3 linked regions of the Arabidopsis thaliana genome follow. The protein of the gene in region 2 interacts with the protein of the main gene of each other region in a pairwise test. Each region holds a gene or a part of one and is shown on either strand. Other genes may lie near its edges. The genes, in order: LPAT2, AT2G23790 and AT1G01630.

What was found.
Region 1: the proteins of AT2G23790 (region 2) and LPAT2 interact in a protein complementation assay, tested with the Arabidopsis thaliana proteins (one large-scale study listed by BioGRID).
Region 3: the proteins of AT2G23790 (region 2) and AT1G01630 interact in a protein complementation assay, tested with the Arabidopsis thaliana proteins (one large-scale study listed by BioGRID).

What each region holds. Positions count from the first base shown.
Region 1 is NC_003074.8:21,347,045-21,353,694, reverse strand, and holds LPAT2 (lysophosphatidyl acyltransferase 2), read right to left. Parts: upstream 4,313-6,650; 5' UTR 3,945-4,312; coding exon 3,867-3,944; intron 3,500-3,866; coding exon 3,377-3,499; intron 3,268-3,376; coding exon 3,228-3,267; intron 3,114-3,227; coding exon 3,040-3,113; intron 2,745-3,039; coding exon 2,685-2,744; intron 2,465-2,684; coding exon 2,387-2,464; intron 2,227-2,386; coding exon 2,068-2,226; intron 1,862-2,067; coding exon 1,736-1,861; intron 1,493-1,735; coding exon 1,400-1,492; intron 1,268-1,399; coding exon 1,181-1,267; intron 1,108-1,180; coding exon 856-1,107; 3' UTR 502-855; downstream 1-501. UniProt on the Arabidopsis thaliana protein: Converts lysophosphatidic acid (LPA) into phosphatidic acid by incorporating acyl moiety at the 2 position. Has preference for C-18-CoA substrates compared to C-16-CoA substrates. Required for female but not male gametophyte development.
Region 2 is NC_003071.7:10,124,841-10,129,562, forward strand, and holds AT2G23790 (calcium uniporter (DUF607)), read right to left. Parts: upstream 2,750-4,722; 5' UTR 2,616-2,749; coding exon 2,064-2,615; intron 1,311-2,063; coding exon 852-1,310; 3' UTR 527-851; downstream 1-526. UniProt on the Arabidopsis thaliana protein: Mitochondrial inner membrane calcium uniporter that mediates calcium uptake into mitochondria. Constitutes a pore-forming and calcium-conducting subunit.
Region 3 is NC_003070.9:226,891-231,747, reverse strand, and holds AT1G01630 (Sec14p-like phosphatidylinositol transfer family protein), read right to left. Parts: upstream 2,950-4,857; 5' UTR 2,543-2,949; coding exon 2,405-2,542; intron 2,320-2,404; coding exon 2,024-2,319; intron 1,920-2,023; coding exon 1,814-1,919; intron 1,400-1,813; coding exon 1,289-1,399; intron 1,190-1,288; coding exon 1,073-1,189; 3' UTR 769-1,072; downstream 1-768. Other genes in the region: AT1G01640 (BTB/POZ domain-containing protein), read left to right, coding at 93-584; PIP1C (plasma membrane intrinsic protein 1C), read left to right, coding at 4,572-4,857.

The sequences.
Region 1 (6,650 bases), on a different chromosome or scaffold from region 2:
GTGTTTCAGCAAGAACGGAGACAATTAGGGTTTATCAATTGATACAAGTCGGGACTTTAATCGGAGTTTGAAAACAGAGAGAAAAGCGGCGCGAGCAACCGGACTTGTGAAGGTTTTTTTTTTCTTTTGAATCGGCGTGAAAGGGTTTTAGTTTTAGGGTTGAGAAAACTAAAATAAAAATTGTGTTTATTATATTATACACTCATTAAAAAAAAAAAAATGTGTTCTATCAAAAATGGAAGAAAATAAAACCTGTTCTTTTACGATATTCTCCCTGTAATCACCGTCATACTGTAGTTGAATTTGTCTAATCTCAGTTAATTCCATGAACGGGTTTCTGTTTTTTCTTCTCAAAATGAATTTTTTTTTGTCTAATCACAATTAAGTCCCAGTAGGATTAGTCTAGTCAGATAATTTATGTACATGAATAAATTCTGTTTTTTCTTCTAAAACGTCTTGTAATAACATGTTTTGTGCCTAATAAATTCTACACTAGCAATGAGAACCAAGGAACAAAACAGTTTAATAATAAAAGGAAAATGTCTAATATCAATCCCAAATTCCAATCTAAAAATAGAAAGTTATACAAGGCCTATGCACTTGAGAAAAAAAATCCCAAGGGACTATAGGGATTAAATCGTTGATTTGATCATGACCCTATACATCAATCGACTAAGAGACATAGGCTGCGTAGTAGTAGTAGTAGTAATATAGTAGCTGAACAAAACGGAGTTGATAATATTAAGGGATTTTTCATTTGGATGTCTTTTTTTTTTGGTTTTCTGTTTCTTATAACAAAACTGACACGCGCTTCTTCTTGTTGTGTTTGATGTTTGGATCTGTGAGAACCAGTTTTTACTTCTCCTTCTCCGTTTCTGTTTGGGAGGATGATTCTGGGTGGTGATTGTCTTTTGGCTTGGCTGGGACGACTTTGGCTGGGGTCGAACGCTCTGACTGAGACGAGCGTATCAGGATCTGCATACAGAGAGTGATGATACCTAGACCAAGCGCCGATATCGTGATACCTTTCCATGAAGAAAAGAGTTGTGCCCAGTGTAGGAACTTTATTGCTCCAAGAGTTAGTACGCATGCCCATGATAGAACCACCTGAGAAAAAGATCAAGAGATTTGTGAGTTTATAGATGGAACCAAGAGAATGTTATGAATTTTATAGACTCACCGCAAGGGACTTTATGGGACGGCCAATGTTCTGTTCTTGTTGACCGGGGAAAGTGTCTGCAGCTATGTGTTTGTCTAACAGAGCATCCTGTATCACAGAGACGAGATGAGAGAATACCAAAATGAAAGCTTTTCCAAGCTTTTCTCTATCAAATCTTGACCAAATATATTATTGCCAATAACTGAAACGTGGAAATACCAGTACATCCATAATTTTTACCTTAGCCACAAACTGATCTCTGCACCACTGTGCAATTGCGTCATCTGATTCAGGTAAGTCTTTCATCGAGTGACACTTGATGTGAACATGCACCTTGAAACCAGCAGCAATGGTTTGCGTTAATGGCGCAGGAGGTTTTAAAAGAAAAAGGCTTGGGATGGGATGAGTCCTACGGTTTCTTACACATTATAAAAGTAAAGGTGATATAAAGAGTTATGTTCGTTTCAGTAAATTGGATGGTGATGTGATCCAAGCCAGTGCATACTTTGAAATTTGTTGTGAGAAGAGTGCAAGATTCAACTGCTATACGACCTATTCATATTTTTGCTTGCTTACCACTGAAGGTTGTCCTTTGAATAGTCTTAGCATCGTGGGTGGTGGAGAGGTTTTTGGAATAGTCACTGTCATATCATAAATTGCTGGGACAAATGAACGCATATTACTAACAGCTGACACGAAACCCTGAAACAAAAATACAAGCAAGTCTAGTAATTAGGGCAGAAATCACAATAACAACCACCAAGTCGATCTGATGAAAATGAAACGTATAAAGGCTACCCATGCATTGAGATTTTGGATCATCATAGCAATCATTTTGCTTTTTAAAGGACACAGAGAAGATATCAAGTTGCCCCAGGAATGAACAAAAGAAAAATATTACAACTTACTTTGGTGCGAGGAATCAACACATTTCGAGGGATAGGCAATTCAGAGGAGGCTGCATACTCTTGTGCGGCTTTAAGTTTGGCTTCTGTAAAGCGAGTTCCCTCCACAAAAAGGGCTAACCAGAAAGGTCGAGGGAAGTCGCTCAAGCGCTGAAGACCTGACTGTAAATTTAGACAAACACACATAACTCATGGTCTGGAAATGAAGATTCTGCATTTTTAGGCTAATCCCCTCATGAACGAGGTAGCTGCACGTGCTAATAAGCATTTTACACAGGAGCAAAAACTAAATGAGTTGCACAAGGATACTATAAACCCATACCTTTAGAGTGCTTTCATCCTTGGCCCAATTTCTTTCCAGAAAGAGATACTCCGAGAACCACATTGACCAGCCTATGACCTGTATGTGTGTGAAAATTCTGTTTATGAGTACTATGAATATGTAACAGATAAAAAAGGCGGAGAAGTGTATTAACCTAAAACAATGATTTTTTCTCAAACGCAAAGCCAGGTATCAAATTTCTAACTTATAGAAGAGATTCAGAAATAGAATTAAAGATTACTACTATTTTCTCTCAAATCTAGCAAGCACACAGCAGTAAGCTAAAATATTCACATACTGGAAGGAATTTGGAAGACTTCTTCATTACAGCTAATGCGCTTCCCAGGCAACCTGACCGCTGCAAGGAAAGAAAATATGAAACAATAGATTAAAAGATGTAAACAGCATAACAGGGAGCGTGTTAAGAGAAAATATGATGATGCTATACTCTCTCATATCTCATCAGATGATCACTAGGGACTGTCACCTTCTACCTAAGATAATCTTTCTTAAGTAGATACTTGGAAGCAATACATGGTCCCATTGCAAGTATACATGCTTTCTCATCAAGAAGTCTATTATGTTGATCTCCATTTATGCATTCAAACAAAAACGTAGGAAGATAGATGAAACTGTGAGGTGAAATTATGTACCTGAGCCAGAATCCATCCCACAAGCCAATCAATATCACTTCGGTGATTACAAACGACAAGAGCATGTTCTTTGCCTAGAAAAAAATAGTAGGACAGTCAATGAAGTTACAGATTCGTTCTTACATAGGAATTTTATATCTTGAAGACATCAGAAACTGATTTGATTGCCAATAAGCATATGAACTTACCCATTCGATTGAAGGTCTCATTATCAGCAAACACTTGGATCTAAGGGAAAAGAAACAAGAAATTTGAGAGGAACTCATAGAGTTAGATAAGATAAAACAAAATCCAAGCTTAACAACCATTTAGTAAAAAGGAGAAAGCTTGTGGATACCTTAACTCCAGCCCACCAGTCAACTATCCATACAAGCTCCAACCACAAGGTTTCTGCAACCACCCGGTTAATTTTTCTGTATGTGTTCTTAGACAGTGGTCGAATGAGTACATAGCAAACTGCCTGAAACAACAATATGTAGTAGTAAACATCAAAACTGAAGCAAACGAAGTTGAGAGAAAAAAAGATTCCTTCCTCGATTCAATCAACATAGAAATCAAGATAAATCTGAAGAAAGTGATACTTAATCGCAGAATCAAACAACACTCTATAGCTCAGTGCATGAGCTCCACGAGTCAATTTCGAGCTTATACTCTCATATGCACACTCAGAATTAAGACACAATCACCGACAAAAACGAAAGAATCAAAGTTTCTGGAGAAGGAAACCCTAAAAGCAGTGAATCAAAACAAAAGAAGAAAGGATCTACAATGTAGAACAACAACGGAATCTAAAAAGAGTAACACCAGAAACGAATCAGAAACCAAACCTGAAAGAGATTGACAGCGAGACCAGATATGAAGAAGAGAAGGCCCAAAGGCACGATGACAGCTGCAGCAATCACCATCCTCAAAAAATCCCACCAACAAAAGCTAATGTGAGGAGAGAGTACAAAGAAGAAAACCCAACAAATCGTTCCCCGAGATTTCCAGAAACCAATGAAGAAATATTTTACCCCAGATTTCAAGACAAGTTGCAGAAGTTTTTTAAAAGGGGAAAATAAATAACCCAACCAGAAAAAAAGAGAAAAAAAATCGCAAAATTAACTTTGCGATTTAATGGGAAAATTTTGAGAAGAGTGTTTGTAACTCTGGATTTTTATTGATTGATTGATTATATACGGAGATGATCACGAGGACACATTCGAACACGGCAGAAGCGTTTTTTCTTGTTATTTTGATTTTAGCCCCTCTATTTGTTTTCATACTTCAAAACATCTCCTATCTCTTCGACTTGGTTGGATTGGCCAACTTTGAAGTTTTGAACTATGCAATCAATGGGCAAGGAAAAAAAAAACGTCTGTCGGAAATTGATCGGTATACACTACCAAGATGTGATTACTCCTAATTTTTTAAGTTAGGATTAATTCCCTTTGCATGTGGTAAAAAGTGCTAGCTGGACTTTCCAATTAATTATAATGTTTGTATGGTAAGCTTATATATGGAAATGTAACGTCCAAATATTTCAAATCAACAGATTTATTTCAGGTGAATCCAAAAAAATTGTTACATAATTCTTAACACTCATAGACGACCACCAAAATGGTTTTACTTTTACCAATAAAATGGCCTAGTGGCGGATCTTAGAACCTTAAAGAGAATGTAATTGGAGAAAGGATTAATGTGTTACCCATACCGCTTAATATATATCCTTATTAGTCTGATATGCTACTTGTCACTAACATCGAATCCTTTGTTCATGTCTGGCCCTAGTCTGAAGGTGACTAATATACTAATATTACCGTGGATGTTTAAGTGCTCCACTTTGTTCCATATGTTTTCAATTTTTCCGTTCAATTCTTCCTCTTTTTGCTATTCTCTAGCCGATGCCTTTTGTTTTTTTGCTTGTAAATTAAAGCATGACGTCTTTGTGATTCTATTCACATGGTTTGGTATGGTTCTGATTGTTTATGTGCGGTGTAAAGTATGAGAGTCTTTCATGGTTTGTATAAATATAAACTAAATGATATTTAAGTGCACGTTTGATTCTTTAGTATTCTAATATCGAAATTTCATTTCAGTAAAGTTCAAACATTTTTTAATTTTTTTGTTATTAAATATTTGAAGTTACAAAAGTATTGTTGAAGTGGTTGATCTATCTAACCAAATTTTCTTTAAATATAATGAAGAATCAAAACAAACTAAAGAACAAGTTCATCATCTAGTTATTTTCAGCTGTACTATGCTCACCGCTTTATTCAGATTCTCCAATAAATTTTGCAGCAAAGTGGAAAAGATAACAAAAAAAACAAATAAGGGTTGTTGAGTTTTTAGTTACAATTTTCCCTACGTAAGATCATTTGCCTTAATTCACGTAACATAGCCACATGCTATCATTTCTATGTGATTGTACATATTCATAACAAATAGTTGACTGCCAGACAAAATATGTTAGAAACGTATGCATACACCTTTTTTCTTTTTACAACAATATATATGCATACACTTGACGCATCCTTAAACATATTATGATTTTTCTTTCTTTTTGTCAATGTGGACTAAATTATCCAATTTGAAAAAGAACAATGGGAATCGAACCTGAAATACTGAGGCGCCAACATTTTTACTTATAATTTTAAAAATGATTTATGTAAAACATTGCTTGTAAGTTTTAACTATAGTCTCAAAATGACACCAGAAATTATAGTTAGTAATTGCTCTGTTTTTAATTACTTTTTTCTCGGTTAGAGACTAAATCACTTATTTTGCAGATATTTTTTTGCATTGTATAACCAAACAAAAAATTTAGTTTTGTTCTAGTCTCCTAAATTGTAGCAAAGAACCAGTGGAACAATGACAAACAAAAAAAAAACAGAGAAAGCCTTAGCTTCCTAACTAGTTTTCAGGTGATGTAGAAAGAACTATGAAATTAGTCCGCAAGTCTTGTTGTGAGCTTTTTCTTGGAAGGACGACTTTGTGGGATATTCAACAACGACAGCTTGACTTTATATCTTAGCTAGTGTTCTTCGTTTTGATCAACTGAGAGTGTGTGAGGTCTTCAAGTTTTGTCATTTTATTTTTCAAAGTTAAGTGTTTCTCGATTAGTTGAGGAATAAGATATCAAGAGCTAGAGGGGGGAGATGCTGTTAGAAGATCTCATCGAACGTTGCAATGAATATAACTGAGGAGATTGCAACTGCTTTAGCTTATTTTCACACTGTTTTCCAATTCTCAAACCCTATTTCGATCTCTAAAGTGATGTCTGAATCCACTTGAGTTCCTTAAGCTACTACGATCATCTTTGGCTTGTCTTCATCTTTCTTCTCAGTGATAGTATACGCACACGCTTCCAGCGGCAATCTTTAACTAACAAAACCCATGGAAACATTGATATAACGTAAACAGGAGTCGTTTCTGCTTACATGATTCATAAACATAGCATCATGCTGATTGAGAATTCTGCAAATTATCCATCAAACTGTAGATCGCAGATGAGACACACATGACGCAGAGACAATGCCAATGCCATTTTGGCTTCAGTCTGAAACATTACCATTCAGATTTTTGCCAGAGACAAGCAAAAGTTCATATATTTACTTCACAGATTTTTACTT
Region 2 (4,722 bases):
AATTGCAGAGAGTCAAACCTAAACGTTTGATATATATTTTTGTTGGTGAACGCCGATCGATTAGTGTTAGTTTTCATTAAAATTAATTTATCTGTATACCAAAATTATATATCTATGATGTTAAATACATGACAACGTATATTTCATACACAAGGTCATGTAATATGTACATCTATTTTATATAACTGATGATATAATAATATATTTGATATATGTAATTATAATATTTTCCAATATTTGGTGAGCTAAAAAAATGTTTTTTTATTCAATAGTATTAATTCTCTGGATTCATAAAAATTAATAGCAAAAGGTCAATTCTCCACTATTATTAATTAAAATTAATAAATTATGAAAGGATATTATTAATTTATTATGTGACAAAAACCCGTCCCATTACGGAGGAGAATCACGCTATCGGATTTGATTCGATTTATAACATGACAACGAAATTATAAATGTAGTTGTACTTTCACAAACGCTTGTTAGAAAAAAATAGATCTCATTTAGTTTTTGCAAATATGAAATCTGCAGATAATTAATTCTGTATTATATTACACCTTCAAACATTTATTTACACAATGTTAAATTTTAGATCGGTCATAAAATAAAAAAATAAAAAAAATAAAAAATAAAAATCGAAAACAAAAACATAACTCTTCGCTGATGTTACATAAGCCGCAATAATAAGAACAACCTCTTTGTCTTTTTTTCGAAAACTGAAAAATTTGAGAGTAGTACCCATTCGTTTTTTTCTTACTTTTTTTTGGGGTAGAATTCTCTAGTTAGGTAAAATCAGACACCATTTGTGACAACAACATTGAATCTAAGCAATTTTTCCCCTAATCAAAATTTTAACTCTTGATAGCTCCAAGAATCTTGGAAACATGATCCGAAGGCTTAGAGCAAAACAGCTTCTTCAGTTCATTATACCTCTCCAGATCAAACTCATACTCATTCATCAACTTTCTCTGTTTCGCCTCGAACCTGCTTTGGTAAAACCCTTCAAAAGAAGGCTCTTTCGATGTCCTGAGGAAAAACGCGTAACCAGCCATAAAGTACACGGACGTGACATAGAAACAGATTGGCTCCATCACGTCCCACGAGAGTTCCCAAAACGTTAGCCTCATGAACCCCGCAGTCTGTAGGATCAAGTAACCGAGACCAGCCCAAAGCTCTTTCCGCACCAAAGTGTGAGCTTTCACATCGATCACTGCCTTTTCAGCTTCAAGCTCTTTAAACTCGATTCTCCGAGGGTCATTTGGGTTATGGATCTTTGGCAAAGGAAGCAGTCCTTCAATGGATTTGGTAACCTGATCAAACACAATAGCAAAAGACAAAAACAGAAAATGTCTGGGTAAAACAAGACCTCCACCACCTTCTTTTGAGACACACAATTAGCACACTCAAAAACACACAACAAAAATACATCTTTATGAATCAATGACTAGTTTATAAAGTCAATCAATCCATCCCCATATCCCTGTTTCTGGTTAAGATCTTCCACTATTGACTAATCCCTCCACATAAACCCAACCCATTATCATCATCATCTCTATAAACTTTCTAATAACCCCCAAGAACCAGTTAGTAAGCTTCTCTCAACTCTCTCTTTTGAAGTTTTTTTATGTTTAGGTTTTGGTATCAAATCACCAAAGGGTCTTGACTCAATTTATAACCCTAATCCAACCAATGGTTTTTTTTTTAGGGGAAAAAAAAAGAGTTGTGGTCTCTGTAGAAACTGTTCCTCTTTATCACCATCTCTCTCAAACTTGGGAACCTCCTATGGAACTCTGGTAAAAACACAGAGGTTTTTGATTCTCCTGTTGAATTGGAACCAAAAGAAAAGAGATCCAACCGAATAAAAATGGTATCAGTTTTCGGTATAGCTTCCAAAATCAAAATCGAACAAAAACTTTTGAGAACCTAATCCGTTTTTTTCAGAGAGTTTTTAAATCTCTCTCTTATCTCTCCCAATCAATCAGCTGCAATACTCAGAGAGATCTCAGAGACAAAGCACGATTTCAAAATGCTAAAAGGCTAGAGAAGAAGAACGAAGAAAGTACCTGATCAGGTCTAATACAAACGGAATCTCCCAAAACGATGACGTTTGCTGAATCATCAAGCATCTTCGCGATTTTAGATCCGAGATCTGGATCTGAAGAAGCTTCACCACAAACGCTAACAAACTCCTTATACGGCATCCAGCTTCTTCCCGTTTCTCTTAGCTTCGATTTCACAATCTCGATCTGCGCCGCTCTAAGCAGCTTCTTCGTATCCGCCACCGTCAAACTCGTCTCCCTCTCCGGCGGAGAAAGTCCGTCTAATCGAATCCGATCCTTGCTTCCATCAATCTCACGGAGTTTCTCAATCAAACTCTCTCCCACCGGCATCTGCATAATCTCCGCCGGCCTAATCATAGCACTGTTATGCATGAACCTTCGCGACATCGCCAAATCTCCAGGCTCCGGTGCGATTTTGGTTGTATCTGTTGAATCATTCGGAACTCTGGTTCGTACGGCTAACGAAGAAGACGAAATGCGACAATTCATAAGACTCTGTGAAGCAACATTCGTGATATTGAAGAGTTTCTTCGATAAAAGCTTCCTCATCGCCATTGTTGCTCTCCCAAGAAAAACTTTGAGAGAGAAAAATAAAAATCAAATTCGGTTTTATTTTACGACTGAATAATGAAACAATAGAGACTAAAAGGGTTTATATACTGTTTACAAATAATAACATTGTTTTTTTAAACCTAAAAATAAAGAGACTCGTACACGTCAGCGTATATCGGAACGTACACGAGAAATTAATATTACAGCAGGAATATTCGTTTTTTTTACGAAACTCTTTTGGTTTTTCTCGCGAGAAATGTGGAAGTGATGAGAGACGTACACGTGTTCGGGTTGGTAGAGGTGATAGCTTTGCGGTGGTATCGTAGCCGTTCGATTATAGCGATTTCCCAAAACAAGTGTTAGTTTTTGTTTTTAGAAACCTAAATTTGTTCACAACGGCAACAGAGCAGAAGAACTAGGGAATGAAAAGACTTTTACGTGCACGCAACCTGACGTGGATCCACATACTTTTCCTTTTCTTTTTAAATCAACTTTAACTAACTACTAGATTATTTTGATAAATACACTTTTACTAGTAGTCATTTTGATAATTTTTGTTACAAACTATGTGTGGATCTATCGATATCACGATATGTACTAATCCATCTACATCTAAAGATACGATTATTCGATATTTAGGTTCGCAAATAGATTTCTTTTTTGTAAATACTTCACCATCCTAAACTAAAACGAAAATCGAACTCCAAAATGTAGAGACAAAAATTCTCATACACATAACTCATAAAAAGATTTACCAAAATTTTTTTTTAAAAGGAAAAAGACTTTTTTAAAAGGAAAAATTTTTTTTTAAAAGAAACCTTTCTCTTAAAATTAGATTAATTTTTTTTTTTTCTATTCGAGTATGGAGTTATGGTTTCCAATGTACGAGAAACATATAGTATAGAACAACAATACCAAGAATCTTGAACATACACAAAACATTTGTGAAATGAAGTGAAAAAGAAAGAAGCATGTTTTTGGATGGTTGAGAAAAATATATAGTATAGAAGAACAAGCAAGTGGAACAAATAGATAAGTGTTCACTTCACGTGTTAGGATGGAACAAACTCACAACTAGACAAAAAAATAATGGAAAACTATCAAATTTTTGAATTAAGGTTTTAGTTTTCGGAGTGAACCAAACGAATATCTTTTTGGGATACATTGCTATGGAAAGACTAATCCTTTGAAAGGTTTATATAAATCAGATAAACGTTTGTGTTAACAGAAGAAAATTACATATTTTTTTTGTGTTAATTTTTCTTTTTTGTCGTTTCTTGGGTTAATTATGATGATATTTCTTTTTAGAGTTTTTTTTTTTTTGCAAAAAATATACTTTTTAATTGATTTCAAACATGTTGTTATAATTTTATAATATACTCGAAATCTCATGTTATTTGTACAAAACATAAAAATATGTATAACATTATTTGTTACATACGATTTTATCACCATATGGTCGGTAACGTGTTTATTTCAAAGAAAACGTTATTTGAATGATCGCTATTTGTCGTTTATACTTTCGGCATATGTTCGTCAAGCTTTAAGAAGTCTCCCGATTGTTGGGGAGCTATAATTAACAATTTGGTAAAATTATTAGAGTACTAAACAAGTTATATACTGACACATGCATAGTATTGCAGCCACTAGTTACAAACTTATTGGAAGGTGACAAGCAATGTCCACAAATTTGACAAATAGTTTGGCAAAAAACAGAAATCCAAATTTATTACATTAGCAAATTGGTTTGAAAAAACAATAATTTACTTAATTAGATAGAAGTGGTCAATTATGCCTAAGAAGTAGTGCTTAATATGATTACAATACCAACACTGACTTGGTGCTAATGGTGATGCCAGCAAGTGGCCACTTAAATAATTAGACCCAACCAATGCTGATAGCTGATATACATCCAAATACTATTATTATTTTGTTTTGCACAAAAAGGGTACTATTATCAATTTATAATGTAAGAGGTAAGCTAAGTTATGGGTTAACTGACTATTCTACAATTTCTAAATAAAAAGACTATGTTGAATGTATCAAATTTTAGAAAATAGACCATTTTGTTATATTAATGTTAGGTTCAACGATTTAAGTTTTAGTGATC
Region 3 (4,857 bases), on a different chromosome or scaffold from region 2:
TCACAGTTCTAGTCTCAAGACATTACTATATTTAGATATGATATGATAACACTGGATCATGATACGACTGAATAAATCTGTTTTTGTTCTAGGCGGCAAGATCAAAGGTCTTCAGGAACATGTTAGATTCTGATGAATGCAAGACCTCCCCCGAGGAATCAATCACTCTCCCTGATTTGTCCCACGACGAACTCAAATCTCTTCTCGAGTTCCTCTACAGCGGTAACCTAAAAGCTCCATACAATCAATACCGATCCCTATATCTGGCTGCAGATAAGTACGACATTTCATATCTGCAAGACGTATGCCGTAACCATTTCATCGCATCTCTGAGCTCTAGGAACGTCCTAGACATCTTAGAGCTCGCCAGTATACCTTGTGACACAATCTTGAAAGACGCGGCTATCAATCATATTGTCAAACATATGGAAGAAGTGGTTGTTCCCATGAAATATGAGACGTTTGTGCAGAGGAACCCGGATCTAAGCGTGGAGATCACTCGGGCTTATCTGAGAGAGACCAAAGCCAAAGCCAAAGATCATGGAGCTCCTCTAAATGGTAATACTCGCCCACGCATCTGGTGAACAAACAGCTTGTGTAAGTGGATCGATCTCACTTGCCAAAGGGGATTTGATGGTTTCTTCTTTTCTTTCTAATAAGAGTGAAAATATTAGTAAAGACTTGTTTTATGGATTATCAATTCAAGGTGTTTTCTTTTTTTCAATGTACCCTTCATAAATTAAACCTCTTTTATATTATTTTGTTGTTTTGGTTTAGAATTCTAGTTGGAACAAGTTGTGTGTTAGATTTGCAGGGAAGAGCAACAGCAAGCTAGACTGAAATTGTATAGTTGCCGAAGTATTATGGCTAGATCACAGTAGATAGATAATTATGAAAAATTACATGAAATTTAAAGGTGTTTTCAATATTATATCTTTTAGCTTCTTTGACAGTAAATATATAATTGTTGGCATTTGGCGACACTCAATATGTTTTTCATTTTATTCAAATAAAAAATAATACTAGTAAGTAATAATTTGGAAATAGAGGTGGGCCGTAGTAAGACCTATAATCAGGTCTCCTGAATAGGAACAAGTGGCAATTTGCCTCCGTAGATGTCGGGAAGTTGGCTTTCGTCTATGTCTTCAAGCAGCGTTGGAGTGAGTTTCTTGTTCTCCACGAAAACAATCTGCCCCCCCAAAAAAACACGAAATTAACAATCAAATTTTCCAACACAGTCTTAAAACATACTAATAAAGTGATTGTGAAGCAGAGCAAATCAATGTACCTTTTTCTTGGTGTTGGCGTCGATAAAAGGATAAATGACCTTCCATGCGGTCATGAAAATGTAGGGGGCATGAACTATATAGAGTTTCCCTAATCTCTCTGGGTAACAATCCTGTAAAACAAGGTTTTCTTAATGTGGGGGTTACTCACTGTCAGGACTCACGACCATGAACAATATTACTAACGCAATATTTTGCTAAAAATAGGATTACAATCATGAAAGTTCCTTTTCAAAAAAAATCCATAAACAAAGAGAAACAAAAAAAAAGAAGCCAAGTGTGGCCAAAAGGACCAAAATAACAAAAAGACCTTTAACCTGATCACCTACTCCAAAATAACAAAAACACCTTTTAAAACATAGTAAATAGTACTGACGAACAAAAGGTTTCTTAGTTGGAAGTCAAACTGAATTCTCTATATTTGGAGTTAAGTGGATTATTAGCAATATTTTCCTTTATTAGTGATAATTGCTAAAAACCTAAATGTTTGTTTCAAAAGATATGATAGGCGAATTAAAGGAAGTAACCTGCAAAGTGGAAAGAGCAGCAAGGTAGCCACGGATGTCACAATTAGAATATCCCCAGCCTTGCAGATCTCCAATTGCTACGAATTTCTCTTGACCTCTCGGCATTCTAACATGACAACATTCAAACAAACAAAAAAAGAGCATTAGCATAAATGGTTTCTTATATACCCACACTAACTTAATGTATGTAGTAATATTATTATTATTCACCTAGCACAAATCTTCTCGAGCGTGTAGACAACAAAACGCTTGAACTCGTCAGGGTTGCCTTTGGAAGGGTTATGTCTGTTCCCAATGGCAACAGCGATAGGTCGACCCATCTTGTCATGACCTTGCATACACATCTTGTTATGCGATAGATCATTTGCAATCTCTGCTTCTGGTATGTGCCCCTTTGGGAGCATGCTTCTCTTCCAAGTCAGGTAATTTAGAAACATCGTTGAAGCCTTTTCAATGTCCAGGTCACGCGCTCTCAGAAACCTCCTTATCATCAGATCATCCACCTCCTGCAAATCCAAATCATTAGGGCTTTTATCAAATCAATACTTTTCTGGTTGAATTCTTTTTTTACTTAAAGAAATCGATAGGGACCTTAGTTTCAGGATCTTGTCGGTCGCAGAGAGCTCTCATGATCCCGACTTTGCTCCTCTCGATCTCATCTTCGATCAACGGAACGGTCTTTTGCTCAGCTGCTGCTGCTGGTTCTTGCTTGGTCTCTTTGTTTTCCATTACGTTTCTCCTGTGAGCGACGACCAGATCTTGAAATTGGTAGAGAGAAGAAAGAAGTAGGATCGATCATAAATGAAGACAGCTGCTGAGAGAAAGATTTTAAGTGTCATTCAATGCAAAGTTGGGCTGCTTTCCCCTTCAATGGCGACGCTCACCAACTACTCTCTTCCTTACAAAAATTCTACTCATTTATTGACTAATCCCAGGTCCCCGACTCTACAGGAAGAAGACGATTATATCGTATTGGGCCTTATTAGAGCCTATTGGGCTCGAGTTGATTTGTCGTAAAGACTTGGTCTGTGGTTTAATCAATCTCTCATGCCTCAAAGTGTTGACTGATTCAGAGGCCGTTTTAGTGTTTTGAGCCCACGTCAGAAGCTTGTCTGTCGTCTGTGTGTATAAAACAAAATTCAATTCACGATTTTTTAAAATATTGATCGTATCTTTTTCCACATGTATGTAAGCAATGAAGGATCTGCTTCGTTGCAAAATATTAGTTTTTCTTTTGATAGGCATGTACCAACTAAGTACCAGCTACGTACACAGACAAAGTCAGTAACAATTAAAATTCATCAACCTAGTCATTGCTTGTTCATCAATCAACCTAATCATTTGTTTGCTTGTTAAATAACAATGCCAACGTTATTATTTCTATTTCTATACTATCATACATTCATACGGTCCACGCCTCTAACAAAAAAAGATATTGATAAAATTTAAAAGATAGATAATTCGATGAAATGAATTATAATGAAATGTGATTTGTACAACTGAGAAAGGATGTCATATACGGACTTTGGTCGGGACCGCCCCAGTAAACACCACCAACACATATTTGCCTCTTCAACCACGTGTCGTGATTCTGTTGGTTGGGCAGCTAGACGACTGTGATGTGTGTGTGTGGGTTGCGTTTCGAAAAATGGCAAACCCCACCACTAGTTCAATAAAAGGTGTTTCTTAATCATATAGTTTAGCTTCGGATTATTTGTTTCCCTTTTCAGTTTTTTAAAAATCGATATCTACAATAGAGTTAATCTGTTTATAAATTCAATTATTGTTCGGGTAAGACAACATCAACAAAACTAATAGGGTTTGAATCCTAAACACTAAACTCCATTTAACTAGTAAAGTATGGCTCATATAGCGTTAAAAATATGTGAATTGATAACAACAACAGAGTTTTGAATTTTATTTTTGTTAGGTTTGAATAGATTGATAGAAAAAGGAAAGTGGGAATAGGGAAACGAACATGTGATCACAGAAAAGCAAAATCCATTTCTGAGCTGGAAACCCCCGCAAAATTGAACCTTATCTCCAATTTTCATTTTCTTTTTTTCTAAAATATATATCGTTTAATTGAAAAACCTCAAATTCACAATCATTGTGATTATTTTGTCACTAGTAGTACACATAGTAATTTAATTAAACATTTTAAAAATACTCTAGGCCCGGCACAATGTTCGAGACTATGTTACTTTACATAAAGCAATCGCTTTCCACACACTTCTTTTCCTTTTCTTCTCCAACGGTCGGAAGTAAATTATTAATTCGTCGACTAGTCAAAAAGTTAGTCCTTTGTGAGTTTTCTGGCACTGTAATATTTTTTTTTACATTTCTAACTGCTGACTGAGTAGTACTCCTGTAGCAAGGCATTTGAGAATAAATTAGGTCAAACATGCTATCTTTATAAGGAGTTTCAGAATATAATACTAATAGTTAGCCAACGCAACAGAATTAGTATAAGCGTGGGTTGTGTTACATGATTAAACATCATCAAGTAGTAGGCTATTACAATTATTAACGTAAATAAATATGCTTTTACGAAGATCATCGTTATCCATGATTCCCTGTATTTCTCATTATTTAAATATATCATAATAGTTTCGAGACGTTAGTTTTTTTTGCTTTTTCTATTCTCTCTCTCTCTCGCCTCTATAAAACCATTCTTTCTCTATCTCAGCCACTCTCATTACCCATTGTAGAAAAGAAGAAAAAAAGCAAAGAACACTTGAACGTTTTCTAGATAGAGATGGAAGGGAAAGAAGAGGATGTTCGAGTGGGAGCTAACAAGTTCCCGGAGAGGCAACCGATAGGTACATCGGCTCAGACGGACAAAGACTACAAGGAGCCACCACCAGCTCCATTTTTCGAGCCAGGCGAGCTGAGTTCGTGGTCCTTCTACAGAGCCGGAATCGCCGAGTTCATAGCCACCTTCCTGTTTCTATACATAACAGTATTGACAGTGATGGGAGTGAAGAGAGCACCAAACATGTGTGCCTCTGTTGGAATCCAAGGCATTGCTTGGGCTTTCGGTG